6 linked regions of the Oryzias latipes genome follow. The protein of the gene in region 4 purifies or fractionates together with the protein of the main gene of each other region. This does not show direct contact. Links are inferred from orthologs where the notes say so. Each region holds a gene or a part of one and is shown on either strand. Other genes may lie near its edges.

What was found.
Region 1: the proteins of stx18 (region 4) and scfd2 purify together in Homo sapiens (co-immunoprecipitation; 3 studies listed by BioGRID and IntAct, counting the BioPlex papers as one, with this or other methods). This does not show direct contact. The link is inferred for Oryzias latipes from reciprocal best matches to the Homo sapiens genes STX18 and SCFD2.
Region 2: the proteins of stx18 (region 4) and snap29 purify together in Homo sapiens (affinity purification with mass spectrometry; 3 studies listed by BioGRID and IntAct, counting the BioPlex papers as one, with this or other methods). This does not show direct contact. The link is inferred for Oryzias latipes from reciprocal best matches to the Homo sapiens genes STX18 and SNAP29.
Region 3: the proteins of stx18 (region 4) and rint1 purify together in Homo sapiens (co-immunoprecipitation; 6 studies listed by BioGRID and IntAct, counting the BioPlex papers as one, with this or other methods). This does not show direct contact. The link is inferred for Oryzias latipes from reciprocal best matches to the Homo sapiens genes STX18 and RINT1.
Region 5: the proteins of stx18 (region 4) and scfd1 purify together in Homo sapiens (affinity purification with mass spectrometry; 5 studies listed by BioGRID and IntAct, counting the BioPlex papers as one, with this or other methods). This does not show direct contact. The link is inferred for Oryzias latipes from reciprocal best matches to the Homo sapiens genes STX18 and SCFD1.
Region 6: the proteins of stx18 (region 4) and nbas purify together in Homo sapiens (co-immunoprecipitation; 5 studies listed by BioGRID and IntAct, counting the BioPlex papers as one, with this or other methods). This does not show direct contact. The link is inferred for Oryzias latipes from reciprocal best matches to the Homo sapiens genes STX18 and NBAS.

The regions. Positions count from the first base shown.
Region 1 is NC_019862.2:905,343-910,077, reverse strand, and holds part of scfd2 (sec1 family domain-containing protein 2), read right to left. Parts: intron 1,603-4,735; coding exon 1,468-1,602; intron 1-1,467. UniProt on the Homo sapiens protein: May be involved in protein transport.
Region 2 is NC_019867.2:6,082,639-6,086,941, reverse strand, and holds the end of snap29 (synaptosomal-associated protein 29), read right to left. Parts: coding exon 4,268-4,303; intron 3,116-4,267; coding exon 3,030-3,115; intron 2,954-3,029; coding exon 2,849-2,953; intron 1,827-2,848; coding exon 1,669-1,826; 3' UTR 1,059-1,668; downstream 1-1,058. UniProt on the Homo sapiens protein: SNAREs, soluble N-ethylmaleimide-sensitive factor-attachment protein receptors, are essential proteins for fusion of cellular membranes.
Region 3 is NC_019881.2:11,291,768-11,296,502, reverse strand, and holds part of rint1 (RAD50-interacting protein 1), read right to left. Parts: intron 3,028-4,735; coding exon 2,912-3,027; intron 2,798-2,911; coding exon 2,624-2,797; intron 2,544-2,623; coding exon 2,406-2,543; intron 1-2,405. UniProt on the Homo sapiens protein: Involved in regulation of membrane traffic between the Golgi and the endoplasmic reticulum (ER); the function is proposed to depend on its association in the NRZ complex which is believed to play a role in SNARE assembly at the ER.
Region 4 is NC_019863.2:30,760,112-30,765,450, forward strand, and holds the start of stx18 (syntaxin-18), read left to right. Parts: upstream 1-1,880; 5' UTR 1,881-1,896; coding exon 1,897-2,088; intron 2,089-5,339. Other genes in the region: uncharacterized protein LOC101155681, read right to left, coding at 134-512, 1,054-1,186, 1,274-1,562. UniProt on the Homo sapiens protein: Syntaxin that may be involved in targeting and fusion of Golgi-derived retrograde transport vesicles with the ER.
Region 5 is NC_019880.2:2,574,251-2,578,985, reverse strand, and holds part of scfd1 (sec1 family domain-containing protein 1), read right to left. Parts: intron 4,692-4,735; coding exon 4,621-4,691; intron 3,156-4,620; coding exon 3,076-3,155; intron 2,455-3,075; coding exon 2,395-2,454; intron 2,157-2,394; coding exon 2,081-2,156; intron 1,188-2,080; coding exon 1,134-1,187; intron 1-1,133. UniProt on the Homo sapiens protein: Plays a role in SNARE-pin assembly and Golgi-to-ER retrograde transport via its interaction with COG4. Involved in vesicular transport between the endoplasmic reticulum and the Golgi.
Region 6 is NC_019882.2:14,748,848-14,753,582, forward strand, and holds part of nbas (neuroblastoma-amplified sequence), read right to left. Parts: coding exon 4,653-4,735; intron 3,795-4,652; coding exon 3,661-3,794; intron 1,925-3,660; coding exon 1,826-1,924; intron 1-1,825. UniProt on the Homo sapiens protein: Involved in Golgi-to-endoplasmic reticulum (ER) retrograde transport; the function is proposed to depend on its association in the NRZ complex which is believed to play a role in SNARE assembly at the ER. Required for normal embryonic development.

The sequences.
Region 1 (4,735 bases), on a different chromosome or scaffold from region 4:
TAAAGATAATAATAACAATCCATTTTATCGAAAGTGCCTTTCTTGCCACTCAAGGACACTGTACATTACAGAAAAAATAAAACCAATAAATAAAAGCAAAACGGATGGATGGGCAATCAAAGAAGAAGGGCAGATTTAAAGAGGTGGGGTTTGAGTCTGGATTTAAGGATAGGTAACAAGTCAATGATACGGAGGTCCAAGGGGAGAGAGTTCCACACTCCAAGGGCCGAGTGGCTGAAGGCTCGGCTCCCCATGCTGACAGGCAAGAGTCGGGGCAGGCGGCAGGCAAACAGAGTCAGAAACAGAAGACCAGGTCCAATGAAGGCAGAATGGCACAAACAATACTTTGCATAGTAAGCTATGGTTGATGAAGAGAGTCAGGTGTGTGGCTTCATGGGAGCACTGAGGGTTGCTGGGAGTTGTAATAATAATAATAATAATGGATTAGATTTATCTGCGCTTTTCAAGACACCCAAAGCGCTTACATTGTGTCCATTATTCATTCACTCCTCATTCATACTTGGTGATGGTAAGCTATGGTTGTAGCCACAGCTGCCCTGGGGCAGACTGACAGAGGCGTGGCTGCCATTTCGCGCCTACGGCCCCTCTGACCATCACCGGGACATTCATGCACATTCACACACCAGTGGAGCCACACTGGAGGCAAGGAGGGTGAAGTGTCTTGCCCAAGGACACAATGACATTTGGCTGGTGGGAGCGGGGAATCGAACCGCCAACCCTTCGATCATTGGACGACCCGCTCACCCACCTGAGCCACTGTCGCCCCAAGTAGTAGTGTGGTTAGAACTCTGGGGACGGCTCTCGCTGGGGACCAGACTTCTGTCAACTATAAAAAATTTTTCTCTAAATTGGTCAGAATTCAGAAAGAAATTGGAGTTCTGCCAAAACAAAGTCAAACCGTAAAAAAGGGGGAAAAAAATTAAGAAAAGTTTTGAAAAAGAAAGTAAGAACCGGAGAATAATGTCAGATATTTGAAAATAAGGTCAAAATTCTGGAAAAAGGTAAGATTTTTAGGATTAAAGTCAATATGTACATCTTTTTTTTAAATACCTCTGTTATTTTTTGTAGAATCAGAATCAAATTTGTTATTGTTTCTGAAATTATACTTTAGAAAATGACCCATAATTGTCCCTTTCCGCTACTTGGGCATTTGAAAGCAATAAAAGGTCTGAGAGAAAAGAGAACAAAAAAAGAAGCAAGAGATCACATAAAAACCATGAGAATGTCTGTTTTTCCAGAATTAAAAAAACAAAATGGAGAATTTTTGAAATTTCTGATCATGTTAGTGATGAAAAATAGCCTCCTCAAGTTGACTGACTTATCTTTTCTTATTTTTTGAGAGAATGTTCTTGCATTCTTCAAGAATCACAGAGCTCTGAAAACCACAGAGCAAATTCTACTTAGATAAAAAAAACCTTTTAAATGGGGTGTATTTTGTGAAGAGACCTTCATGAACATGCTGAAGCCCGTCTTGAGCAGCTCTGTCAGGCCTCCAGACATATGCTCCATGTCAGGACACTCAGACCGGTCGAGGCGGAACACCTCCTCCAGGATCTGCTTCAAGAAGGGACGGTAGGTGGCCTTTACATGGAAAAGTCAAGCACAAACATGTGACGATTCATAGGCAATGCAAACACCAACATAGGGTTTTTACACATAAGGCAGTATTTTCTATGAACATGAGGACATCCCCTGATTTTAGCCCCCCCACACACACACAGTGGATGTCTTTGTTTATCCCACATCAGAGGTTTGCATTTCTGTGTGAGGCAAACAGCTCGCTGAGTCACTTCATGAGGAGGAGGAGAGGGACAGCAGAACGGTGCTCTATTAAACACGGCTAAAAACAGCTCATTGATAACCTTGAGTGGGAAACAAAGACATTAAACCACTTCTGAATAAACACCTTGCAGCTAAATTCAACCCAAAACTCCCCATTTCTAAAATGATGAGAGTTATCTAAAAATACCCATTCTATTCCAAACACAAGTATTTTTGGAATAAACCATTGGAGTATTTACAACAACTCAGTTTATGTGCTTGACAACAGCAGACACAAAGAAAAAGGCTAAAGTAGAATCCAGTTCTCTCTTAGTCAGACAAACGTTCTTGACGAAGCACAATTTTATAACCTAAACTACTTCTTAATAAAAGTCTTTTATTTATGTGAGAGAAAAAACTGTTTATTTTGAACAAGGACTAAACTTTCTCTAACCAGCAACTCCTGCAAAATAAACCCTTTATAGCCCTCAAGGTTGCAGGATCAGGAATTTAAGGTCCAACTGTTTTTTCTCAAAAGAGAGCAGACTGTTTCTCTCACAGAACCTTAAAGAATTATTTAAGATCAGAACTGTGTGTGACTATGCAGGTTAAGCATGTGTTTAAATGTCTATCTAGGATATCAGTATTTTTTCTACCTTTCCCCCTTTGGAGGGGGAAAAATGTTCATCCCCCCACCGCGAAAAAACTGTGACAAAATACGCCAAATATGTTCAACTTTAATACCGTCTCAAAACATTCCTGCTGCTAGAGACTAGAACAATTAAATAAAGGATTGTTCACTCTGTAAGAAGAATAATATTGAACCTATATGAAAAAAGAAACACAAAATTGTGTTAAAGGCTGCAATGTGCTTTGTGCTATACCTCTTTTCAAAACCAGGTTGCAGGTTTGTTACTGCAACTCTCAAGTTGTGCTGAGCATAGCTCTGTTCTTTGATTTCAAAGTGGCAACAGCAGAAACTCTTACAAAGGCTACGTTCACACTGCAGGGCTTAATGCTCAATTCGGATTTTTTGAAAAAATCCGAATTGTTTGCTAGACCGTTCACATTTCCAAGTAAATCCGAACTTTAGTGATCTCCAGTGTGACCGTGACACGACCCAAACGAGACCCGCATGCGCAGAAGCCAGAAGAATACTCAACGGTGAACGACGTCACTTGTTGTTTGCGGAGCCAACGTTAACAATGGATGTCAACAACAGTGTTGTCAAAAGCGGAGCTCTTTTTGTAATATTAAATTTATTTTCACAAAGGAGCAGCACAATTACAATCTTCTCATTTTAAGAAGGCAATGGAGTCGGGATCGTCTGTACCCACTGTTGTGGAAGAGGAATGTGTATGTGCTGGAGCCGCGCGCCCGCGTGTGTGTGTGCAAGCGCGTGCCGCGAGGCGTCGAAAAAAAAAAACGAACCCGAGGCGTTTTTTTTTTTTGACGCTTTGACGCGTGGCGTTTTTTCGCGTCGGTGTGTACACTCACATTGGTGCCCTTTGTTTAGTCACGAGGCGTTAAACCGGCGAAATTCGTCCCGGTGTGAACGGGCCTTCAGGGTGGAGTCTGAGTGATTTCATTGAACTGATCCTCCTCAGCAGAGCTCAAACCAGCAGCTGCTGCTGCGTTATATGGATCTGCAGCCAGTCGTAATGAGCTCTGTTGTCTGGGGAATAAGAAAAATCCTCGCAGGGAAGACACGTACAAAGTGAATGATCCTTTATACAAGGAATAAATAAATTACATAAAGGATCATTCACTTTGTATGTTGTCAACCTGTGGGGCGCCACCCTGGGAGGCGCGGAGGCATTACATCCACTATACATGCAATGTATAGAAGAAAGAAAGGCAGGTGTAGGTATCCAATCATCAACTCAAGCATCAACGGCATTACCGTTCTTATAAGACGTTAGAACCGCCGTTAACAACAATAATTATGTTTTCAAATGTCACGGTTAGGATTAGGTTAATGCAAGTGATGCAAGACCCACGGATATGAGGTCTTTCATGTTTCACCGCAAAAAGAATTCCGACGTCCAAATATGGCCCCCTCCTCCCAGCCTTGTCCCACCGGGTGACTCACACCCCCACCGAGATGCCTCTGCACCACCCCAGTTTTACAACCACTGCATTGAACTGTTGATTCAAGCATCACAAACACACTTCCATAATGGTTTATATCATTGACTGTATCGAAAAAACTGGACTGAGTGACCCCTCCCCCCATGACGTTCCAAACAGGAAGTACCTGCTGGCTCCAAGAAGCTAAAATCCCATAGACCTCTATAGAGAAATTAACAGCTGTTAGTCATTCTTCATGCTTCAATAAAAGCTAGTGGTCTCAAGCATTGACTGTAAATGAGAACTGGACCAAGTGAGTGTGATGTCACCCATGGAAAGTGGCTTACTTCCAGCTCCAACCAAATGAAATCAATTCAGTAGCCATTTTATATATTATCATTTATACGGATATAGTTTACTCTGAAAGGTTTAATGGGCCTATACCAAATTTCTTAAGCCTCATAGTAAACAGTATGCATATGATAATAAATTACCTTTGACACACCAAAGAACACATTTTTTATTAAATATTAGTCATTTTCCTGAGGTCTCGTCTTTTCCGACCTGGAAATAAGACCACTTGAACTCTGAAGCACAGCCTTTTGCTCCGTGTGGGTGCCGCCCATTTCATGATGTCAACCTAGAGTCGGCCTCGGCAGTGTGTCTGTGTTTCGCCCACAAACATCATCCAAACTTTTACAAAGATGGATGTTCATAACATCCCTTATGGGCCGCCCTTTTTTCCCCGGGGTTCCCCCCTCCTGGGCGGGGGCGGCGGGCCCCTGCCTTGCTCCTACCTGGACCAACCGTGGGCCGGGTGGGTGGCTGCCTGGAGTGCGGAGCGGGTCTCCCTTGGGGGGTCCTGGCTCGTACCTGGGGTCGG
Region 2 (4,303 bases), on a different chromosome or scaffold from region 4:
AGAATATCGGGCATTCGTTGATTTACAGGTCACATTCAATGGTCGGAGGAGAACACAAATAAGCAGAGGAAAAAAATGCAGAATGTTGAGACAAAACATCACAAAAAAAACATTTTAAAGTAGCAAAGTGACCAAAACATGATAGGAAAAACAATCATTTTAACCAAAGAAGTGCAAAATATGAGAAAGAGCACGTAAATATAAAGAAATAATCACAAAAAGACATTATAATCCGCAATAAATAAGAAATTACCACGTGTCCAAATAGGATCTTTCATAAAGCACAGAATTCAGGCAAAAGAGTAACAAACAAATGGTCCACCAAAAAAGAAAATAATTTTTTGAACTAATTTTGTCTTTAAAAGGGTTTCAATTCATAAAAAGTATAATTTACTGTGCTTAGAAACTCTTTAAATAGCAAGTTACTATGCTTATCCATCACACGTGTAACAGAAAAACCATTAGGCATAACAAAAAGCGTACTCGTGTAGACATGCCCGGGGGGCCTCAAGGGGCCCCTGGTAGCGGGTACCCCCATCTTCCTTTCTGTCGCGCCCCCAACTCAAATGTCCTTCAAAGAAGCCTGAACTGTAATTACCAAGTCATGCTAAAGACTGCTTGTTGCGGCTGCATGAGCAGCTGGTTTGACGCAGAGGAATGATAATGAATGGACATCATCTCTGCGTGAGGACATGAGCAGAAGGCGCTCATCACACTAAACGCTCACACATCATCGGATGCTCATTTGACTAAAAACAAAAAGCAGCACAGATGTTGGTTTGAAATATGCCCCTTGATATTACAATTACCGGTATTAATAGTTAAAACACATTTGTTTCCTTCTAATAATTTTCTTCTAATTTTGCGTTTTATACTATAATTATTGGGGAAATTTGCCATTTAATATAAATAATACCAAACCAGGATTTTTACGATGGTCATTTAGTTTTTAATCCTGAACCACAGTGCCACCTAGTGGTAATTTGACCTCACTAATCCATCAACACAAAAGTTTTTTTTAACTTTAGTCAAAAAAGTATTCGCAGAACACATGGAAGTTCCTTGATTAAGCTTTTATTGGATATCTGTGCTTGATTACACACAAACATGAACTTATGTAGGAATTTTGGCCAATTTAGTACTGTGATTTATTTGTCTGAAGAAAAAAAGAAAAGAAAAATCAGAGAAATAATCATTGTATTCCAATGGTGCAAGTTTTCCTTCATCTCTTATGTTTACAATCAAAACTAAAATATTTGAGATATTTATTTGATATTTAAGAGGTGTTTTATAGAACAATTTATCAAATGAAATGTAACTGTGAATCAAAACCAAAGAAAGTACGTGTAAGGCAAACGTGACTTGAGCTTGTTTACTGCTTGTTTTTCTTTTTATACATCAACTGGGGTCAGATCCGGATCTGTCCTTACATCAGGAACATCTTTAAAAAATTAAATAACAACAAGTCTTTTTTTTCAACAGATGGTTTCCTTTTTATCTGTAAAATATTTCACATTTTATTTTGAATGACAAAAACTTGGTGATGAAGAAAATCTATTGTAAAAATTAAAAAAAGGAGTGAAAGAAGATTTTCCAAAGACAAAAAAAAAAAGACAGTAAATTGAACTGAAATGAAGGGTCAGACGTGGAAATGTCAGAGTGTGGGTCCTACAGCTTTTTAAGCTGTTGGTTTGTGTTACTGATCTTCCCATCCATCATGTCCACTTTGCTTAGAAGTGAACCAATAGAGTCGTCCTGGCTGTCAATTTCCGACTGGAGTCCAAGTCCGAGGTTCTTCAGTCTTTGCAAGCCTCCACACATTTCATCTAAATCAATCACAGCAGATGTGGTTAAAGAAGTCACATTTCAACCACATTTTTTTCAACAAAAAAACTGAACATATCCCACAATTCATCACTGTGTAAAATCACTTTTAACCCCCATTACCTCATTACATTTACTTTAAGACTATATGACAAATATATCAATTTTGGGGTAAATTTAGCCTTTTTATTCTTTGCAGCGTTTACCCTGTTTAGTAAGGTTTGCAGTCATTTGCTAATACGAACATCTCTTAAGGTGGACTGTTTGAATGTGCACATATAACACTTGTGTAAATGGCATATACCATGCTATTTTTAAGACTTTAATAGTAAACAATATCCCACGAATATGATAATATTTTACCTTTGGCACACAAAATAACAATTTTTTTTTTATTAAATACGAGTTATTTTCGCAAGTTAATTTTCCAAGTTGGAAGTAAATTGACTCAGTCTCTGAGGCACCACCTTTCGCTCCTTGTGGGTGCCGCAAATTTCATGACATCAACCTATAGTCGGCCTCGCTAGCGTGTCTGCATTTCTCCAGACTCCTCCTGTAAGGTGCAGCTCTCACTGGTCTTCGTCAGCTTGTGATAACCCACTCGTTTTTGTGGATAAGGAGGGGCTGGTGCTCAGAGAAACGTTTTTTAGAGGAATACTTAGAAATGCTTGAATGGATCAGAATACCGGTTTGGGGTTTCTTTTCATAAGGAATGAACATTATAATATACTTAAAGCTCAAAAAATAGATTTTGCATAGGCCTCTCAAAAAATCATGCAGCAACAGCTGCTTGTTTGGGTGCAGTGTTGTCTGAAAGAAACTCTGACTACAAAGTGTGTTATGTTGCATTCATAGTGTAATGAACCACACCAGGGTTCCCTTGCAAATGAGACCAGCCAGGCCCTTTCAGGCAGACCACATCGTGTTGATCAAGCATTCTTATTTAAAAGGAAGTTTAAATGTCATTTTAAGAAATTACTCAACCCTATAACCGAAATACAAAGTGTCCTGTTAGATTTCTTACCCAAGTTTTTGTCAAGGGTCTGATGAGCCTCTCTGAGGTGTTGGTTCTTAGGGTATCCATTCTGTCTAGGTAAACCCCCATCTACTGAGGAAGAAGCTCCAAAACCTGGAAGCGAAGATCACAAGTATGTAGGATGTACTGTGACACGTTTGAACATTGACATTTTCATGTTCATCCTTACCTGATGTTTCCAGTTTCCTCAGGTTGGGGTGGCTGGCTTGATACTTGTCTTCATATTCTCTGCTGTTGGACAGAGCGCTCTGTAACCTAAAAAATAACCCACAGAAAAAGTATTCATGTATATAATTCAAAACCGTTCATATAGACAGTAGAAAATAGTATCATATCATAGTAGGAGGTATTTTATCTGACCTAGCATTGGCTCACATTTATGGAGAGCTTGCATTTTTGCATACTAGCTCAAGGTGACTGTTTTTGTGACTTTATTGTTGTTTATTGTTATATTTTACATCCATCCAGAGTATATGACTGCTTTGTAAACAGTTGTGAGAGGCGGTTTGTTTGATAATGTTTCTGTTGGGCTCTCTACATGGATTCGTCTGTAGCTGTGCTGATATTTAAGGACGTGTGTAGGAAGAAGTGAAAGCACCTTCCTTAAAGAACAGACAAGATGTACAGAGTAAAAATAAAACAAGTCCACTCTGGCTTTTGAAAATGTTTTGTGCATTCTGGTGTAATGAACAAATATGGTAAGTTTTCCAAAAGCAGATTCGGTTTAATCAAATGTAGTCTTGGTAACACAGTGTACAAAATAAAATGCCCTTGAGCAAGGCTCTTAACTCCTACTCAGAGCTCCCAGGAGCAACAGTAGTTTCACTTTGCAGCTCCCAGGTGTCAATGTGAAACTGTTTCAATGTGAAACTATCAGTGTGAATAAAACATTCTAAAAAAAGTGGGCTGCCTTTCAGATAACTTTTTTTTTATTCAAAAGTTTCTTTAAAAAATTAAGAAATTGAAAAAAAATTAAATGTATTTTTAATTAGTTAACTTTACAAAACAATATTTTTTTATTCGAAATATAAAGCTTTTTTTGTAAGCATTTTTTTTCAGAATTGTCAATCTTTTCCCCCCAAAACTGATTTAAGACTTTTAAAAACAGACTAAAATTTGAGACAGAGATCACTCTCTTGTCTTGGGGGTTTTGAATATTATTCCTGTAAATGTAGGACAAGATTGAGCCTGAAAGGTGTTAGAAGTGAGTAAAAATAATCACCAAACACGTAAATGACATGTTGGATTCTCTGAAAAGGAAAGTTGTGTTTATAAGAAGCTGAAACCAATGTTAAATAAGTAAGGTAAGAATATTTAAAAAGATTCTGGATTTCAATTAATGTTAACTGTAAAATGATGACAGTCAACAAGCACTTCTAATCTAAAGAAGAAATAAGTAAAGCGTACCTTTCATTGGCCTGGTAGGTCGTTGGCTCCTCAGCT
Region 3 (4,735 bases), on a different chromosome or scaffold from region 4:
CAGATATCTCTGTCACATTCACACCTTACCGGATAAAAAAGATGAAAAAGTCCATCTGCAGTCACACATAATTTTCACCTTTGCTGTTTAAAACATTTGCTCTCTTTTAAATAAATCTTTTATTGTGAATGAGCTCATCTTAGATAACAACTTAGATTGCCTTTTTTTTACTGAAACCTGGCTTGGTACTGATGCTCCTGTTGTTCTCACTGAGGCTTCCCCACTAAAATTTACTTTTTATTTTCTACCAGGGGAGATAAAAACAGGGGGCACACTAATTACCTATGGTCTGTAGTGTGTCCTCTGTTGTTGACATGCCTGTTTCAGATCACTATTGCGTATTCTTTAATATCACTAGTTTTACTCGACATGAAGCTCCAGAGAGAACTGTGAGGAAACGATACATAACTCCTGATGTGGCTGCAAATTTGATCAATATTTTACACCAAACTCCCGCTCAGATTTTACCTGCATTGTATGATTGAACATTTTAACAACAAACTACAGTCAGACATTGATGCTGTAATTCCACCTGAGTCAAAGACGGTGAAAACTAAAGCTACAGCACCCTGGAGAAACGGAGCCATCAGAGCCATGAAACGTGAATGCAGGGGAGCGGAGAGGCAGTGGAGTAAAACTAAATGAACTGTATTCAACTCAATTCAATTTTATTAATATAGCCCAGTATTTACAACAATAGTCGTCTCAATACCGGTAACAAAATAAAGTCATAGAATTCAATGGGTAATGGCTAAACTAAACTAAAAAGACTAAACTAAACTGGGCATCCCTGCTCTTAGACCCCCTGTACATCAACTGTTCATCATTACATTTTTAAAAAACAGCAAAAAATGTACAGTCATGCAATAAAAAAAGCTAGAACCCTCCACTACTCAAACTTAATTATACAAAACAAAAATGACCCTAAAGTTCCCTTTAAAACAATAGATACTATAGCTAATAGAGATTCTCAGAGGTCCTCCATACCAACATCAGATGCTATTTGTGAGAGTTTTGCAGACCACTTCAGGAGTAAAATCAATGCTATTAGACCTAGTCTTTTAACTCAAAAAGGTGTTGTTTTTAATGAATCTATAGCATTGTATTCATCAGAGGAAACACAGGAAAGTTTTGTCCAGGTTGATGCTGTGGTATTTGGTCATGTTTTCTCCCAGTTAAAGCCAACCACCTGCCTTTTAGACCTAATCCCCACATCACTGTTAAAAACATTTTATGAATTCTTTGAGTTTGAGCTTTTAAATATAGTAAATGACTCACTTCAGACAGGTGTCTTCCCTGTTGCATTAAAACGGCAGTGGTGAGGCCTCTTCTGAAGAAGAGTCATTTGGATCCAAACAACTATAAAAATTTACGACCAGTATCCAACTTATCATTTTAAGTAAATTGGTAAAGTGGAGTTTTAAATAAAATGACAGTTTTAATCGAATTCAATGAGTTTTTAAACAGAAATAACATCTTTCAAAAGTATCAATCTGGTTTTAGGAGAAACCACAGCACATACACGGCCCTTGTTAGGATAGTAAATGATATTAGATCAAACCTTGACTGCCAGAAACTCTCAGTCCTGGTACTACTGGATCTGAGGGCTGCATTTGACACAGTAGATCACAGTATTTTACTTGACAGGCTGAGGTGTTTAGACATAGCTGGAACCATTCTGAAGTAGTTTTATTCCTGTCTCACAGATTGAAATTTTTATGTAAGTATGGATACATGCTCCTCAAAGGTTTTTGAAATCAATTGTGGGGTCCTCCAAGGATCAATTTGAGACCCACTGCTTTTTAATCTAGATATGCTGCCACTTGGGGACATCATCAGGAGGCGTGGCATTTATAAACTCTGCATCGCTTTGTCTCCTGATGACGAAGAGTCAATCAACATACTCTTAAAATGCATTTCAGACATTAAGTCATGGATGGCAGAGAACTACAGCTTAACCAGGACAAAACAGATGTTTTAGTGATTGGTTCTGTAGGCAAGAGAGAGAGATTGTTTTATCAAAACTAAAAATTGACAAAACGCCTCAGCATGTGAAAAATCTGGGCGCCAGTTTTGACTCTGAGATGAATTTTATTCCATAACTTAAGTGTCCTGCTGGTTTTCCAGAAACCCTGCCATATCGGCTGCTGATTACCTGGATCAGGTGTGTTTAGCCAATAAGGAGCTTCAATGGCAGGTTGTTTGGAAAACATGTAGGCCACTGACCCTCGAGGCCTGGATTTGGGCACCCCCGGTCTAGAAAAAGACCAAAGAGGAGTTTCACGGAGAAGGAAGACATCAGGATGGATGGAGTGAGTGAGAAGGATGAAGAGAAGAGAGTTGGAGGATTTCTTGTGGCGCCCCCTAGAGGGAGCAGCCAGACATGTTTTTTTGTGGAAGGATACGAGGCCTGTAGGGCGAGGAGCTGAGCCACCAGCGCCTCCAGCTGGCTGCTGCTGTCCGGACAGTTGGCAGCAGGACTCAACGGTTGGTTCGGCGAGATGATCGGCCAGTGAAGCTGAGTCAGAACCTTCCCAAACTCACTAAGAAGACAAGCAAAGAGGTGTTCAGTCTTTAACATCCCAGAAGTGAGCCTTTGGACGTGAAGGTGGACTGGGCCGACCTGCTCAGGCGCTCCTTGATGATGTTGTGCCAGAAACAAAGAGTTTCTCGAAGGAACTTCTGCAGGTGAGAACAGCTGGAGTGGTTGAGTCCAGAGTCCAGCGCCGCCAATTGGTCCACTACCTTTATGGCTTCACAGACGCTGTTGACCATCAGGCGCTGCTGGACTGCAGCACTGCGACACACAGACACACTCACTGCTGAGCCATCACAGCCCCCCCCCCCCCCCCCCCTTCACAGAGACCTCTATGGGGGGGTCAGGGGCCACAAGCCTCCATGTTTACAATACCTGAGTTCCTCTATGTGCTGCAGGCACTGCAGGTACTTCATGGGTCTTTCTATCAGATCAACCTGGCTGAAGACCCGGCTGAGATCTTCCATCCACTGCGACGCCTCCTGCAGATGCTGCAAAGGCGACATGCAGTTACAAAAAATACCGCATTTCTACTTTAGGAAAGCAATACATTTAGCACTAAGGGAGTTTACTGGATCCTTCTTGCTCTTTCCAAGTAAATCTCTGGTAAATACTGGAAACTTAGAATCCTTAAACTTTTGCCAAAAGAAAATGATTTTTATTTTAACAGCTGCTGTTTTGTATTTTCGTTTCTCTTCCTCTTCACGTTCCGTCCTCAAGTTAGAATTTTTGGAGTTGAGCCTAATTTTATGTGGATGTGGGGCTTTGAGCCCATTGGCTATGATTGACATCTGGTGGTAGAGGTTATGGTGACGCAACAGCGTCTGTTGTTGGCGCCGCCTGTGCCGTCCTTCCTCTGATGAACCACATTTTGGGGGAGCATCATCACTACAGTACGCCACTTCAGACCCTAGTCTTTCATCTGGTTTTCAGTATTTCTTCAAATGCACTTTTTTTTCAACTTTTCAATATCTATTTCAAGTATACAACATCTACTTTTACATTTGGAACTGTTTATTAAACTTAATTTTGTTTTTCAAATTCTAATCTGGTTTTTAATTCACTTTAAAGACCCACTCCGTTGAAAATGGTGTTTTTGACGTTTTTAACATGTTCTTTCTCATGATGGAGGACATATATAAAAAAAAAATTTAAGATTAAAACTGTATTTTTTTATTCAAATTGTGACAATCAGAAGCATATGAAAAAATTTTGTTTTGAAAAAGCTCTAAGTTCTGGCGTAGATAGAGAAATGGGCGGGGCCACAGTCTCCCTGTTCTGCTCCATTCTGATGCATCCACCTGCAGACAAATAGATCCATGAACGTCTTTGTTTTTCTCGTCTGAGCTGGAATGTGGATCCAAACTTCACGACTGGATTGCTACGATATAGCTCACCGTTTTTGTTGCATCGCTAATGTTAGCTTAAAGTTGTGGTAGCTGTAAGCTAGCGGGAGTGCGTCTAAATAAAGGGATGATGGGATATAAGCAGAGGCTTACCTCTGCGCTTACAGTCCCGCCCACAACTCAGAGGTGAATTTCGAATTAAATCCTGCCGCTCTGCAGAAACTATGTCCTAGAAAATGAGTTTTTTAGATTTTGGCTATAAAAAAAAAGATAAATCGTCATTAAAAGACAGTTGGAAAAGAACGATTTGAAAATAGATCAAACAATAATCAGAGTGGGACTTTAAGTTGATCCTCATTTGACCCCATTTAAAATCTTCTTTTACTTTGGCTTCTCCCATCAGGGGTTGCCACAGTGAAACAACCCTCCCTTGAGGAAGGTCACATGGTTAACTTGGCAATGTTTTTATGCCGGATGCCCTTCCTGACGCAACCCCTCTCAATCCAACTGGGCTTGGGACCGGCACAGCAGCAGAGAGGGGAATAGGGAGCGGCCTGGATTTGAACCCTGGTTTCACGGACGGAAGGTGCCGCAACCCAGCACGAGCTAAACCGGCCCCCATTTGACCCCATTTAAAATGCACGAACATTATTAAATGGAATAACACTTGGAAAAGCTTTTATTACTCTCAGCAGAGAAACTTAAGATTTGTATTTAATTTCATAAAACACGTCTGAAAGCATAAGAAATTGGTTTAAATAAGGAAAAAGATTTAATTTGAAAAATTTCCTTTTAAGTCTCACTCTGATCATCTTTTGATCTGATTTCAAAGCGTTCCCAGTGGTCTTTTAAT
Region 4 (5,339 bases):
CAATATTAAACACATACTTGGCCTATACTCATACAACCCCCCCCCCCCCCTGTTAGTAGATCTGATGTCATGTGCAGCTCAGAAAGAATATTATTTCATAACTGGGGGGCGGCAACAAAAAAGCCCGGTCACTTCAGTCTTCTTGAGAGAATTCTTTGATTTGATTCTTCAACAGCTTTATTTTAAGTGCGTAATACTCCTCCTGCAGCTTGAGAACTTTGTCTTGTCTTCTTAGTACAGACATTTCCAGATTAAACTTCTCCTGCAGAGCAGCAGGTCTGCAAATTGGTGATGAAGAAGAAGAACAAGGGCTTTGGACATTGGAATCGGTACAGACATCCTCATGTCTCGCTGGGGAGGTGGGAATCTTTGTTGAAGCCGTTTTATAGTCTGGAGTGATGGTTTGATCTGGATCTGGATCTGGATCTGGATCCGGATCTGAAAGTTCTACCTCTATCAGCGCCTGCTTGCTCGTGCTCTCCTCTGTTGTTGAATTTCCATCTTCAGCATAGCTGCAGGATGAAGCAGAAGATATTCAATGATCAATTTAGAGTTAATTCCAAAATTAACACATATAAAAAGAAAATTACACTTCAATTCGAAACTCCAATCCTCTTTTGATCTATTTTCATAGCGTTATTATCTATTAATTATGATTTTGCCGTTTTTAGCCTAAATCAGAAAACGTGTGTCGTTGACTAGGACATAGTTTCTGCAGAGCAGCATGAGTTAATTTGAAATTCCCCTTCCCATCACACCTTTGTTTACACACTCTTTTGCTAGCTTACAGCCCCTCACACCCCCAACCTAACAGTCGTACAGTTTTGAGCCAGATTCCGGCTTGGACGTACATGGATATATTTATCTCCAAGTGGATGCATCTCTCATCTTTCTAAGTAGGAGAACTTGCACAATTGGTGGCTGACTGAATACTTTTTTTTTTTGCCCCACTGTATGTCCTCCATCATGAAAAAAATACCACAAGAACATGTAAAAAACTCGCACAAACATGATTTTCATCCTTAAAGAAATAGGGGGGGGAAAAAGTGTTGCCTGTTTTCTGGATTTTCCGCTGGATCTGCGTCACGAAGTTTCTTCTGTTCCTGCATCTTCTTCTCCGAGATGTTCAACACAGAAATAACTATCTGTGTCACGGCACTAAGTTTCTCAAATAACATCTCTTCTTCTGCAACATTAAAAAAACAAAAGTTTGCTATTAGTCAGAAATGCACAATGTTACTAAACTTAAAAAAGAAAATGCATGTTTCCTGACCTTTGTTACTCTGTCGTTTTATCTCCTCCCTTGCCTTCGCAAGGAGGTTTTCCCACTTTTTGTTGCAGTCGGAAACTGTGCGCTGGACCTGTGGAAAAGCATCATTAATAGCTTGGACTATCTCCTTCCAGGCATGCCTCTTGTCTTGAACCGATACTCCGGTGCTTTGCTTTCCTCTGACTATGTTCTGCTTTTTCTGTATTAACTGAGCCAGAAGAAGGCATTCCGGGTCAGTCCAGTTGGGTCTTCTCTTTCTGCTGGTGGAGCCCTTCACTGGCTGTGGAGGCATTTGTCTGCGAGGAAAACACATAAAACAACCATTAATAGAACGTATTAAACAAAATAGAAACTCATGAAAACCCTTAGATTTTTCTCAAAATGATATTCCCCTTAACGCTTCTAAAACCCTATAATTTCAGATTAGTCCTTTTCTGTTATTGTTTTTCCATTATATACAACCTAATTCAAAGTGAAACAGTCAAATGTTGAGTTTTGGTTAAGTTCCGTGTTGATTTAATGGGAAATCAAATCCTAATCGGTGCAAACCTGTTTAAGGCTTTTCCTTTTTCCCCTTTGAGGGAAAAATCCGCTGCGGCGTCTCATGTTGATGACGTCACCGGTCGATGACGTGTCGCCTTGTTGACAGCGGCGCGTGCACAGAAATGGCTGTGGACATCACTCTGCTTTTTAAAGCCAGCGTGAAGACAGTGAAGACCAGAAACAAGGCGATAGGGATCGGGTTCGACTCGACGAAAGATGAGATTTTCAAAAGAAGCAGAACGAAGAGCGGCTTCACCCAGAGAGCGAAAGAAGTGGTGAGTGCTCCTCTTAGCTAGCGATAGCATGATGATGATGATGATGATGCTAGCTCATTTGAAACGATAAAACTTCTCTACAAACATTGCCTTTTATATGACAAATGTACACACCACTACTTTTTCTTTTAAAAACGTATAAGTACAACCATTGTTGGCTGTTTTTAAGTCGTTTAGTACCCCAACTGTTTAATTTTAAAAAAGTTGCTGCTTTTAAATTAATACCTCATAAAAAACATAAACTTGACCTAATTTTTTTTAATCTACAGACTTTGCTGTGCAATTACTGGAAATGTGAGCATTAATGAATGTAGCACTAGTTTTTCCCTAAAAGACTACACGTTTTTTAGATGAACGTAGTTGAAAAAAAAATCTTGAGCGATTGATTGATGTTATTAACAGACTAACTACCCTGTAAAAAATACTATAGCTAAGATACAGATTTCATATAAAATAATATTAATTTGAAATCTTCATCAATTATATACATGTAATTAATTTTAAATACATATCTGTGTACCTGTATGCCTGTTATGATGATTGATAAAAGTGGAAAATCTAATGTTTCAGAGGACGATTAGTCATTTTGTTGCATTCAAATAACAAATAAATGTTTACATTTGTTTCCTTATGGGAGCTTGAAATCATTAACACCTGCAACAATAAAATAATTTCCTGCAATGAACGCACCAACACAGTGTTTGTGTCCGAATTCCCACCCTAACCCCTAACTACTGCAAAACTATATAGTGACCTGAATTTTCAAAGCAATTCGGTCACCATGCTCACTACTGGAAATTCAACTGGTTAAACAATTTTACACTTAATCGCAGTCCTGCAACCAATCTGAGACTCGGATTTAGTAGTGACATGAGGGTGGCGTCCGCCACGGAAGTACCAACCGTTGTAAACATGATTTCGAAGGAGACAATAATATTTGCGGTTTGTGTTCGGACTCCAAGACGGACATTTACAGGAACAAAGCTGTGAAAACAAAACGTCTGGAGCAAGATTTGCGGGATTTTCACAGCTTTCACTTTGCACACTGAGCCTCTTCCTATTACAGGTGGTAGACAACAGTAAATACGCAGAAGAAGAAGAAGAATCTTCTCCCTTTCGCTACCTGCATGTCTGCTGCTTTTCCCATGTGGACAGTTAACAGTCGACATCGTTGAATATCAAGCTTGTCTACTTCAGCTTTAAAAGAGTCATAAAAAAGAGCTAATTTTGACTTTCCCTTACGAAAAAATCTGAGACGGAATTTATTAAAAATTATTTTCTCAATGCATTCATTCATCTTCTAATCTGTTTGATCCCTTTCGGGGTCACGGGGCTGCCAGAGCCTATCCCGGCGTCTTGCGGCCGAAGGCAGAGGACACCCTGGACAGGTCGCCAGTCTGTCACAGGGCCTCAACCACTCACCCATGCACACGCACGTTCACACCTATGGACAATTTGGAGGGACCAATTAAGCATGTTTTTAGATGGCGGGAGGAAGCCAGAGTCCCCGGAGAAAACCCACACATGCACGGGGAGAACATGCAAACTCTACACAGAAAGGTCCCCCATTGGTGTTCTGTTTCTGGTCCCCCAGCCGGGACTTGAACCAGGACTTCTTGCTGTGAGGCAAGAGCGCTATTATTTTCTTAAAGCAAATAAATAAAATATCATAAATTTCAGAAGGCCTGAGCAGCTGCGGCTGCTCTCTCATCTGCCCCCCCGTCAGCCTCCTGGGGGTCGGTGCAGTGGGTGGGGTCACTTCAGCCCCATGGGCCCTGCAACAGACTGGCAACCTGTCCAGGGTGTGCCTCACCTTAGCCCAACAATAACCAGAATGTGCTCTGGCAACCCTGCAGCCCCAAAAGCGATGTAGCGTGATAAGCAAATGGATGGTAGATCAGGACAAGGCCGCTTGGACCGATCCTCCACAGTGGATTTTTACTCCACCCCTTAACACATCAAATGGGTGAAGTGACACCTCAACCTCGCCAAAAGTCAGATTTTTTTTTTTACTCTGGATGCGCCACAACACCCAAATCGTGCTGCGACACTCAAAACGCACTGCTGCCGGTCTGCCTCGCTGCGCCTGACGCTACAATCACGCTGCCGGACCTCAGATCAAGTCTGTACATTGGCTTAACATTGTATGTCGCCCCCATTATAATTGCGTTCGGTGTGATAACCATCTTCAGAGTTATGGGTCTTTGAATCCAAATTCTGGATGTTCTAGACTTGGTGTAGGTCAGTAAAGAACACAGAAGGCGGAGGAAGTTGACAGCATGCTGAACATAAACTTTTCTCCAAATTTCCAGCTATAGATTAATATTCCGATAAAGACTAGTTTTTGGTGAAGAGTTTAGAAGACATCAGTGTGCACCCGTTTTTCACAGGGCAACACGGCCTTTGCTCTGCCCCAGCAGTTATTTATCTGACTTAAGCAGATGTCTTCAAATAAAACCTTGAAGAACCACTTTCACATTTCCCACGGGGGAGTAAAATCTTAAATGTCACCAACCATCAGCCTGAAGACGACATGAGAAGATCTGCACCAGCCACGTTTTGGTCGTGTACTTTTGTAGCGGCATTAAATACGGCGGTTTAATAAAAGCTCTGCTGCTGATTCAATAGAAACTCATACCTACCCTGTGGTGCTTGGCCTCTGGCCCCCCTCACCCCGCTAACCTCCCGCTGTCTCCCTCATGCTGGAGCTATCATCTCAGACCATCTCACTGAACCGTTTTTATAGAAATTGAAGTTGCAAGTCTGGAATGCCTCGACTGTTTAAAGTTAAGTCGCGGTTTTCATCCACCTCTCTCCAAACTTTTCTGTCCGTTCTTCTCTATACGCCCTGACATTGGGCAGCTTTTTTTTTTTTTTGCCAGCGTCGCCTTTTTCCATGTATGATTCCAAAAACACGCTACAATAACATTTTCTTTCGGCTCTCAAACAATTTCTGGGGAAAGCCGATCCTCCCAAGAGCCAGTGATTAAAGGTGGAAGATCAAAACAGAGAAAATATTAAATTAGGTCCCCAGTAACAATGTTGACGGTCGGCACCTAATGCAAAACAGATGTGAGTGCCCTTCAAGACATGCATGGCTCTCCTTCCTATGTTACCATTGAGGCTTTGCAAAAATGGAAGGAAAAAATCAAAGTTGACAAATACGCAGTGGTCTTATGAGACTTTTCTTTTTTTCTTCTTCTCAAAAAGTCAGCACAGCAAGAGAGGAAATGTAAGTTCTTTCAAAGACG
Region 5 (4,735 bases), on a different chromosome or scaffold from region 4:
AAAATGTAAGATGGCAGCCTCTTCCGGAGGTCAAAAGTCTTGAAAACTTCAGTTGTGGTTGTCGAAATTTTGTGAAGATCACATGAACTGAAGTTTCATTTTCCCATGTTGTGGGAAAATGTGGCAAATTTCACACTTTGCCACAAAATGGCAAATGGTCTTGTGGCCATCCCATAATACTTTTTAAAAAATCCTTTGGATGTGTCCGACATGCGTGCTTGGGTTTCGTTAGTGGAAATACTTCTTTTGAACCCCATTACAGATTTTGACCCCATTCATTTTTGTAATGGTTTCTCCCACTGTGATGTCATCATTTTTCCCCCTCTTTTTTTTTCTTACTGCTTAAAGGCAGAGTAAGAAAACTTTGTGGGGAAAAAATCTGGTCCTCCTGTCTAAGAATACTGCCGAACATTAATATCATGATAAAGTTATAATAAAAAAATTTTTTTTTAAGATGTTAACAGTTAAACATCAAAGCGCCGCCTTTTTGATCGCATTCACACCCAATTTATAAAAGGCTGGATTTCCATTGGTCACAATATTTGCTGTTTCAATGAAGACATTTGTTCTGTGCTGCAGAACCAGACCTGTTGCCGTGTTTACACCTAACATTTTCCCGCCAAACTGGACTCTTCTCCAACCATGCGGGTGTGAGGCACATCAGAAACCAGGACTCCGGACTCCGGCGGAACCTCCTTTATGCTTTATGAGGAGGCAATCCGACCGGAGGAGAATTCCCCCCCCATCTCCACGACAACAGCCTCTCTGTTTGTGCCGTGTAACCTCAGATGCTGAGAAAGCGCATTCGTTTCCGCCTTCGGAGGTCTGGGCGTGAGGACCCAGCAGCTGGTTGGTTGGCAGGTCAACCCGCCTCTTTTTCTCTAACTAATCTGGTTTAGGTTCTGCCTGAGGGAGCATGTGACCTGCCTAAAGCTCAGAATCATCCTCCGTGGTCATTATTCCCAAAATCCAGCCGTTCTTAAGGAGAACTGGAAGCTTGTGGGAGCACAAATCTTGAAACATTTCCTGAACATTTATGCTGAAATCTCTTCTAAACCCTTCCATGGAGACATCATTTTGACAGGAAACAACAGGTTTGCATTTTCATGCTCAGCAGACAGACGGAGACTCACAGGATGAGACTTCATCTCCATCAGGTTGTCCAGGATCCGAGTGACCGGGAGGTTCTGGAACAGAAATCCACCGTGAGACACGCTTTTTGGATAAAAAAAACCTCCTTTAATGCCATTTGAATTTGCCAGTTTGACTAAACTCCATTGAAGAAATTCAGTTCAGAGCTTCTCTAAATGCTTAGGAAGTTCTGGATCTTCAATGCTCTGAGTTCAGCAGCTTTCGGTCAGTCCAGAATACTTTGACCTTTGACCTTCATGACCTTACACTGGGCCACCAAACTGAATCAAATCTATTCATTATCCTTAGAAATTCTCTATTTTCCCTGGAATTCTGGTGTTTTCGCATAGAAGTTGTTCAGCCTTCATGCAATTTCGGACGATTCCATGTTTTTCGACGCTCGTGTGTGTGTTTTTCCCAAGATGGACGGTCATTTTTCCCATCCTCTAAAATTCTCTAAACATCCAAACTGGTACTAAACTGGTACAAAAGCAACGATTTCGGAATTAAAAACTCCAAAATGTTCTGTTTTACAATCTGTCCATTATTTTTCAATGAAAACTAAAGCATGTCTTCATCCAGATCCCATCTGATTTCTTTCACATGTTCAAAACACTCCATGCATCTGCATTTCTGTCAAATCTAACCCCCCCTTTGTAGCCCAGGAGTCAAAAAGTTCGCCCACCTCGGGGCTAGCATATTTAACCTTTGTGTACATTTACTGCCGTTATGTAAAAATGTAAATTAAAAAACAATCAATAGGCTAGCATTAAAACATTTAGGTGAATTTACTGCTGTGGTTTGATTGGCTCTGCTCTCTTGCAGCCATCAATGAGGACGGACCCACCAATTTAAGTCTATGTGGTTGTTTTTAAATCACTTATAGCTTGTGTTTGCATGATCTGAGCTGACGTTTGGGGTCCAGTAGGTTCTACTGAGTTGGACTCACGTGCTGTTTGAGCACAAGGTTCTTCACGCCCTCCATGACAAACTGGGAGCCGGTGTTCATCACTCTGGAGAAGAGACTGAGGAGGAGAAGTGGAAAAACAGAGATGAGGAGGAGAACAGGGTTACGCTGGTAGTCCAGACCTTTGGGGAGGTTGCAGACTTATTTTTCTGGAGTGTGCGTTCTCCTGCTGTGCGGACAGATGTGCGCTTTCATGGATCGCGTTTCCAAATGCTGCTGAACTTCAGCGACGGCCCGCCCAAAGAAAACATTTCTGTGACAAAAAGCTCAAAGGGCTTCGGAGCTGGTGGACTCACCCCATGGGTTTCACCCCGCTGTTTCCGTAGTTGGCAGGGTTTGCCATTTTGGTGAATGCTCTGAAAAACAAAAAAGACCAGATTGACTCTTCTACAGATACGAGGGTTCGAACATACAGCTGTAAGAAAACACAGGAAGATAAGAAACGAGCACCATTGGTGGATATTTTTCAGTAAAGGCAAGAAAAAAAGGAAAATCCTGGGTCAGAAAACTTTCAAGCAAACCAAATCAAACATGGAGTCTTGACGAGTCTTTAAATGTCTGAGAATTGTTTAAAAATGTGTTTTTAATCACCATATTGAAATATTTGTGGAGACACAACATGGACCCCGATGAGGAACCAGCTTCTACTTAAGGGGGGAAATGCAGATGACATTCCACCTCAGAACATCAAGACGATCTAAGAACTGAGTCTTTGGACAAAAACCAGATGAACGGGGGATGAAATGCTGTCCAACCTGTAAAAATGTCTTCAACTAACCTGACGGGGGCGCCACTGGACTTTCAATGAAATGGAGTGGAACTAAAGCCTGAAGTTTGGTGTGGAAACTCTCAGATCCTTACAGAGGAGCACCACAAACCTCATCTGTGGTGGAAGTTACATTTAACTGCCCCTTCCCCCAAAAGGCCTAGCACCATCAGAACCCTGAACCATCAGAGTGATCAGAGCAGGAACTTACTTCCACTGTTTAATGTAGTTGAGAGGTGAGAGGTCACAGCCCGCATCCAACAAGGCCTTCCTGTACTGCTCCAAGTCCAACTGAACACAGGAATATAAGTGGGTGGAGTTAGATCGACAGTGGGTGGAGTCATATCGACAGTGGGTGGAGTTAGCTCGACAGTGGGTTAGATCATCAGAGGGGGGAGTTAGATTGACAGTAGGTGGAGTTAGATCAACAGTGGGTGGAGTTAGCTCGACAGCGGGTGGAGTTAGCTCAACAATGGGTTAGATCAGTGCTTCTCAAATAGTGGGGCGCGCCCCCGGGGGGGGGCACGAAGCGATGCCAGGGGGGGCGCGCGGTGGTGGCGGTTTTAGGCACAGGTTTGTCCGGTGCGCAAATTTAACGTGGGGGCAGCGGTGACAGCGGCTCAGTGCTTGGAAAATAATCTGGTCCACTATTCGGTTCCTATTGTCTGTTCTGTCTGTCCGCGGCTGCGCGAGTGAGAACGAAAGGGGAGGGGTGGTGTGGGCCCTGTCTGCCAGGGGAATCGGGGCACGCGGACCACTGCTACCGCTGCCTGTTGCCCAAGATCACCGCTGCCCTTAGATTCCTAAGCTCATGCTAACAATGTCATTCTTTATGAACTATTGTAGACATTTTGATGACGTGTCTTTATTTTCCATCCATGTTTTCTTTGTCTGCCTGTGGTTTAGTTGGTTTCAGACAGACAGAAAGACAGCAGGTAATGCAGGAAAACAGCTGCACTTTTATGAGATCAGAAATAAACAATCCGTCATTTAGAAAAAAAAAATCAGCACGTTTTTACCTATTTCTTCAGACTAAAAACGTTAAATATATTGGTGCTGCTGTGTTAATGTTTCAGATCAATTTAGATTTAATATTATTTATTGATTGAATTATTTTTTTCAGCATCAAATGGTTCAGTTGGTCAAAATGTTTCTAGTTTAAATAAGGAATGACAGATTTTTTTTATTTCAGGTACTTTCAGCTTCTTTTCTGTTTTAGACTAGAACAGGGTTTCTGTGGCTAAATAAAGTTAATATTTGTTGAAAGTGGATTTATTTTGCTTTTTTCTTTTGTTAGTGTTAAAAGATACAATTTTAGGTATACAAATTTTATAGATACTGACCTGATGTATTGTCACCGCGCGAGTGTGTCTGTGTGTGTGTGTGTGTGGGGGGGGGGGGGGGTCAGGGGGGGCGCGAAACATTTTCTTTTCCTAGGGGGGGCCTGGCAAAAAATAATTGAGAAGCACTGGGTTAGATCATCAGCGGGTGGAGTTAGATTGACAGTGGGTGGAGTCAGATCGACAGCGGGTGGAATAAGATCGATAGCGGGTGGAGTCAGATCGACAGTGGGTAGAGTTAGCACGATAGTGGGTGGAGTTAGCTAAACGGTGGGTGGAGTACGTTAATGGTGGGTGGGGTTAGCTCAGCCGTGGGCGGAGTTAGCTCAGCGGTGGGTGGAGTTACATCATCAGTGGGTGGAAACAGATCAACAGTGGGTGGGGTTAAATCAAATGTGGGTGGGGTTCTGATTTACCTCAGAGGGAGCCTGCTGAGCTGTGATGTAGTAGATGAGGAAAAGTCGCATTTTGTCCTCCGGTGTCCCAGCTGACAAAAACATTCACACACATCACTGAGTTCTGTGTCCACTG
Region 6 (4,735 bases), on a different chromosome or scaffold from region 4:
CAAAGCAAACCCGGTTTGTGCAGAGTGGGGACTCTGGTGAAAACAGCACGGCCATAACTGCGAGCCAGAAATAATGAAGCAAACCCAATGAATACAATGTGGTGAAACAGGCCAAGGGCATTCGGCGCTGCTGCAGTCAATTCCTACAGGTATTACATTAAAGAGATTGCTTCATTTATTCCTGAGTAAGCTTCTTGGCCTCATTGGACAGTGCAAAAAGCCTTCTGCAGGAGTCTGTGTGAGAAACCTCACATGTTCTTTATCTCAGTTCCAACATGATAAATGTAGCTCAATCCCAATTTCCCTCTCACTCTCCTCAAAAACAGCAGTTTTTTCTGGTCGGTAACACCTGATCCTTTAACAGTTTATGCTTTAGGCTGCATTAAAACCACTAGAAGTTCTCATGAGGTTAACTTACATTTAGCGCCAACGCTGAAATCGACATAAAACAGAGCAAATCGACAGCGCTCTCAGTTGTCAAAATGATGAAAGAGAAGGAAATTTGTGAAATAATTATTTAAATGTTGAGCACAATTCCTAACACGCCGTCGTCTCCGGACTGGTTCAGGGTGAAAACTGATTTCAAGACTTGTAAAGCTTTCTGCAGATGTCCAGATAGAAATATTTGAAGAACGATCAAGTCTAACAGAAACACTGTTGAGTCTGTGGGACAACAGCTGCAGACAGAGACAGTCAAGAAAAGGCCAGAGGGCCCTAAAAGAGGGCCCCTAATCAACCCACACTAATAATCCTCTAATCGGAATATTGAAAGTAGCAGGAGTGGTCTTTTTGTAATACATAAATAAATAAAGTTTTTATGCAAGTAAATTAAATTCAAACAATAAAAATGCTTTAAAAAGTGATAACATAATTAAAACAAACGTGAAGTTAAAAATACTGTATATATAAATAAAATGTGAATTAAAAAAAACCGTAAATAAAAGCAGAAATAAATTAATACACAGACAAAAAAGGAAGTTTAATTAAATAAAAAATAAAATAAAAAAAATGTTGAAAGTGACATTTAAAAAATAAAATAGCTATAAATTAAGTAATTGATTAAATAACTAAATATAAATAAAAATATACAAATATTAAAAGTGATTTCTTATTTTATTACTTTTTTATGCAACTTAGTTAAAAAAAATCTCTTAACTTATCTGTTCAGGTGAAAATACTAACTTCATGAATAAATGTATATGAGGTTCAGCCAGTCAGTTCAAAGAAGGTCCCACAGTTTGAGATTAAGATCGTTTTTTTGTTTTTTTATCATCTTTGAGGCTTTTATTTGCAAGCTGCCCAGTGGAGTTCTTTGATGCACAGATGGAGCTTTGTCCTGTATAGAAAATCGTGGTCTTCCTGAAGAAGGAGGACTTTGTTCTGCGCTGCTGTTTGAAGAAAGACTTCTAAAATGTGGGAATAGTCTTGGGAGTTGGGTTTAAATCCATCTTTAATCTGAAAAAATAGCTGCTCTTAAAAAAAAATAAAATAAATAAAACTCCAGCCCATAACAGTACCTCATCTGACCCTTACTGCCACCTCAATCAGAGTGGAGCTTTAGATCTTTTGTACTAATGGACACTCCAGGGAGGTTGCAGTTTTAGAACATGACAGCTCTGAAAAACTTCCTGATGGCGTCCCTTTAAATTCTCATCAAAGCTATGTCCAAAGTCCTCAACTTCTCACTACATAATGCACTATGAATCCAAACATCCAAAATCGAGTGCCCTAAAAATTTCCCAGAAGTCTCTGCGAAAACCCAGCGTGAATCAAAGCTCACTAGATTGGCAAATATAGACCAAGCTATCTGTGCTGTCCGTCATACCTGTGTGCAGGATGGTAAACAGCTGCCGTGATGCCATGTGGATAGTGGGTGGAAAAGTTGAAGGTGTGGTTCTCTTGGAAGTTCTGATTGGTTCCCACACTAAAGAAAGAGATCAACAACAAAAATCTATCTTTATTCTAGTTTCTCTTTTACACACAAACTCTGACATTTAAATGGCTACAGAGGTATCAAATGCACTTTCTGTGGAAATTAAGAGAGTAAATCAGCTTTTCATTCCCTTTTTCTGACATGAATTTACAGCTAAAGGGAGGTTCTGGAGTACAGGGCATTTTCCGATTTTAGTCAGCTTTGGGAGGCTTTGGATGACAACGTTATTTCAGCAAATCCGCCTTGAAAAAAAAACATATAACCTCCAAGCTCTCGTCTTATATCATGAAATATTAAATAAAAAGTGATCTAATTTAAAATTATTTTGAAAATCCAAATCTTCAGGGTGGGTTTGAGTCTTTGCAATCAGCTCAGAAACATACTCAAAATGACAAAAGGCAGTAAGAAAATAAAAAACTTTTCTTTTTCTATAAACAAGCTTTTTACACTTTTTATTAGGTTTTGGCTCATTTGTAACATTTCAGTATTTGCCCAGTAAAGCCTAAAACCTGTGACCACGTGTGGGAGTCATAATTGCAAATTTCCAAGCACATAGCATTAATCAGCACTGCCATCGCCGACTTGAGTAAACTCTACTGTGCTCTTGTGTAAGCAGGCGGTGGCTCAGCGATGGACGGGGGAGAAATGGGAAAAGTCAGGAGCAAAAATTGCCTTTGAGTACCTGTCCATGGCATAATATCAGAGGTAATTACTTGTAACACATTTTCTGAAAAACAGGTAGGCATGCATACAGCTGAAATGTTACCTACTTAAAAGGCTGAACGATTTAAATTGTAAATGAAGCAGAAACTCATTTTAAACTTCTCAAAGATACGGACACTGACAGGCAACGCAATTGGGAATTTAAAAGTTCTTTAAAGCCTTCGCTGCAGTTGAAAAGCTAAAATCTATATAAATAATGAGTGAAAAGGCTCAATGTTTTAAAATGAAATCATAGCGCAGGCAGGTTGACATTGACAAGTTTGGCATGTAGTGCAGATTCTCAAGTGACAGAAACTGGAGCCTCTTTGAGCCGTCATCGGGCGAATAACTGGGTCCATCCTCAACATGTCATCAGGTCATCGCAGAGGAAAAATGAGACAACACAAAATATCTATACAGTTAATGCAAAGGCTGGCTTGAAAAAAAGGGATAAATTGAACCAATTTGACCTTCACAAAATCCATTAATTGCAGTTTACTCGCTTAATTAGCTCCAATTTACAAAATTCTGGCAGAGATGTGCCACAAACTATAAAATAAACACAGTTTGTTGTTTTTTTATCACTGCTGACTTTACATTACCCACTACTATACTTGCAGCATTGAGATGATCCTGTGTGTCTTTTATTTTGAAAGGAAGTCCTGCAAGCCTCTGTCAAAAGTTATAAACTGCTTTATATATATTTTTTAAAAGCCCATCTTTCTTCATGTTTACGTTTCATTGGTTAATTTGTATTTATCATCAGAGTAACAATAACTCAAATCCAAAGCAGTGTCTTATTTTTCTAAAGGCTGACGTAAGACTTTGTGGCTCTTAAAGGGTTTGTGGTCACTAAGAAATTGATCTGAATGGCGTGTTGAAATGTTGCAGACCCCTGCATTAAGCCAAATCAAAGAAAGGAGACATTTTGAGGGAAAAAGGGGGGGAAATTTGCTTTCATTGTGCAGTTACATCACAGCTAGATAAGTTATTTAAACGAGTTTTAACACGCTTTTGTTTCTCACCTGACTAAGTAGCTTTTAAGCCCTCCACTGTATGTGATCACAAGAAGTTCAGCTGACCACTGAGCGCTGGCTGTGTACTCCAGGAAGATCAGGCCTGCGACTGCACAACTGAAATCTCCGGGAAAACTCACCACCTGGATGAGAAAAAGGACAGAAGAGGAGTTCATTGCAGTTTAAGTTCACAGTTCTCGTAACAAGATTAAAAAAAGAAGGGGGCAATGTGTGAAGAATAATAAATCAGAAAAGTCAAATAGGGATAGAAAACAAGAAAGATGAAGGTTGAACATTGGAAAACCTACATTTATGCACCTCTACTGCAAAACTGACTCATCTTTTTTTTTTTATCTCATCCCCCTGAAATCGCAGTAAGGCAGTAACAAACAGGAGGAAGGGTAAAGTATTGCTGAGGGGCACTGATGTAGGTGTGCGAACACACTCTGCGCAGACACACACACACAACAAAGAGGAAGTGCGCTGAAGGAACAACGATCAGAGGCTTTCAAAAGGTAAGGGTGTCTGGGGAGAAGGACGAGCGTCTGACAGAGGGGCGCAAGAGGATAATGGACAGAAAATGGTAGAATAATGATATGTGGAGCTTACATGGCGTTAAAATGTGGACTTGGAGCTTGGAAGAAAGAGTAGAGTGTGTGAGACGAGGCATAAAGGGAAGACTTGGGGAGAACACTCGTGAAAAATTTACGATGTGAGGTGAGGAAGACGGCGCTTAGAAGAACAAGACACAGAGCGGAGAAGGGAAAAGAAGACGAGGGGCCTAAAAAGCAGGTGAGACAGACAAAGAGGGGGCCGGACGTCTGGAAGGGAGACATCTTTATAAGGTTGTGGTTACTCCAAGGTGCTGAACAAACACATCTTTTCACAGAAAAGATCAGAGCTGCCTCAGATGTTAAACACAAGAATTATAAGACTGATGCTTTCATTAGAATTAAAATTTATTACAAATATAGTTTAGAAGGAGAGGTTTATTTGGTTACCGGGGGGATGACAAAAAGTTCGCCGCCCATGAGGTCAAACAGCCGGACGGTGCCAGTGCTGTCGGAGTAGGCCAGCAGCGTGC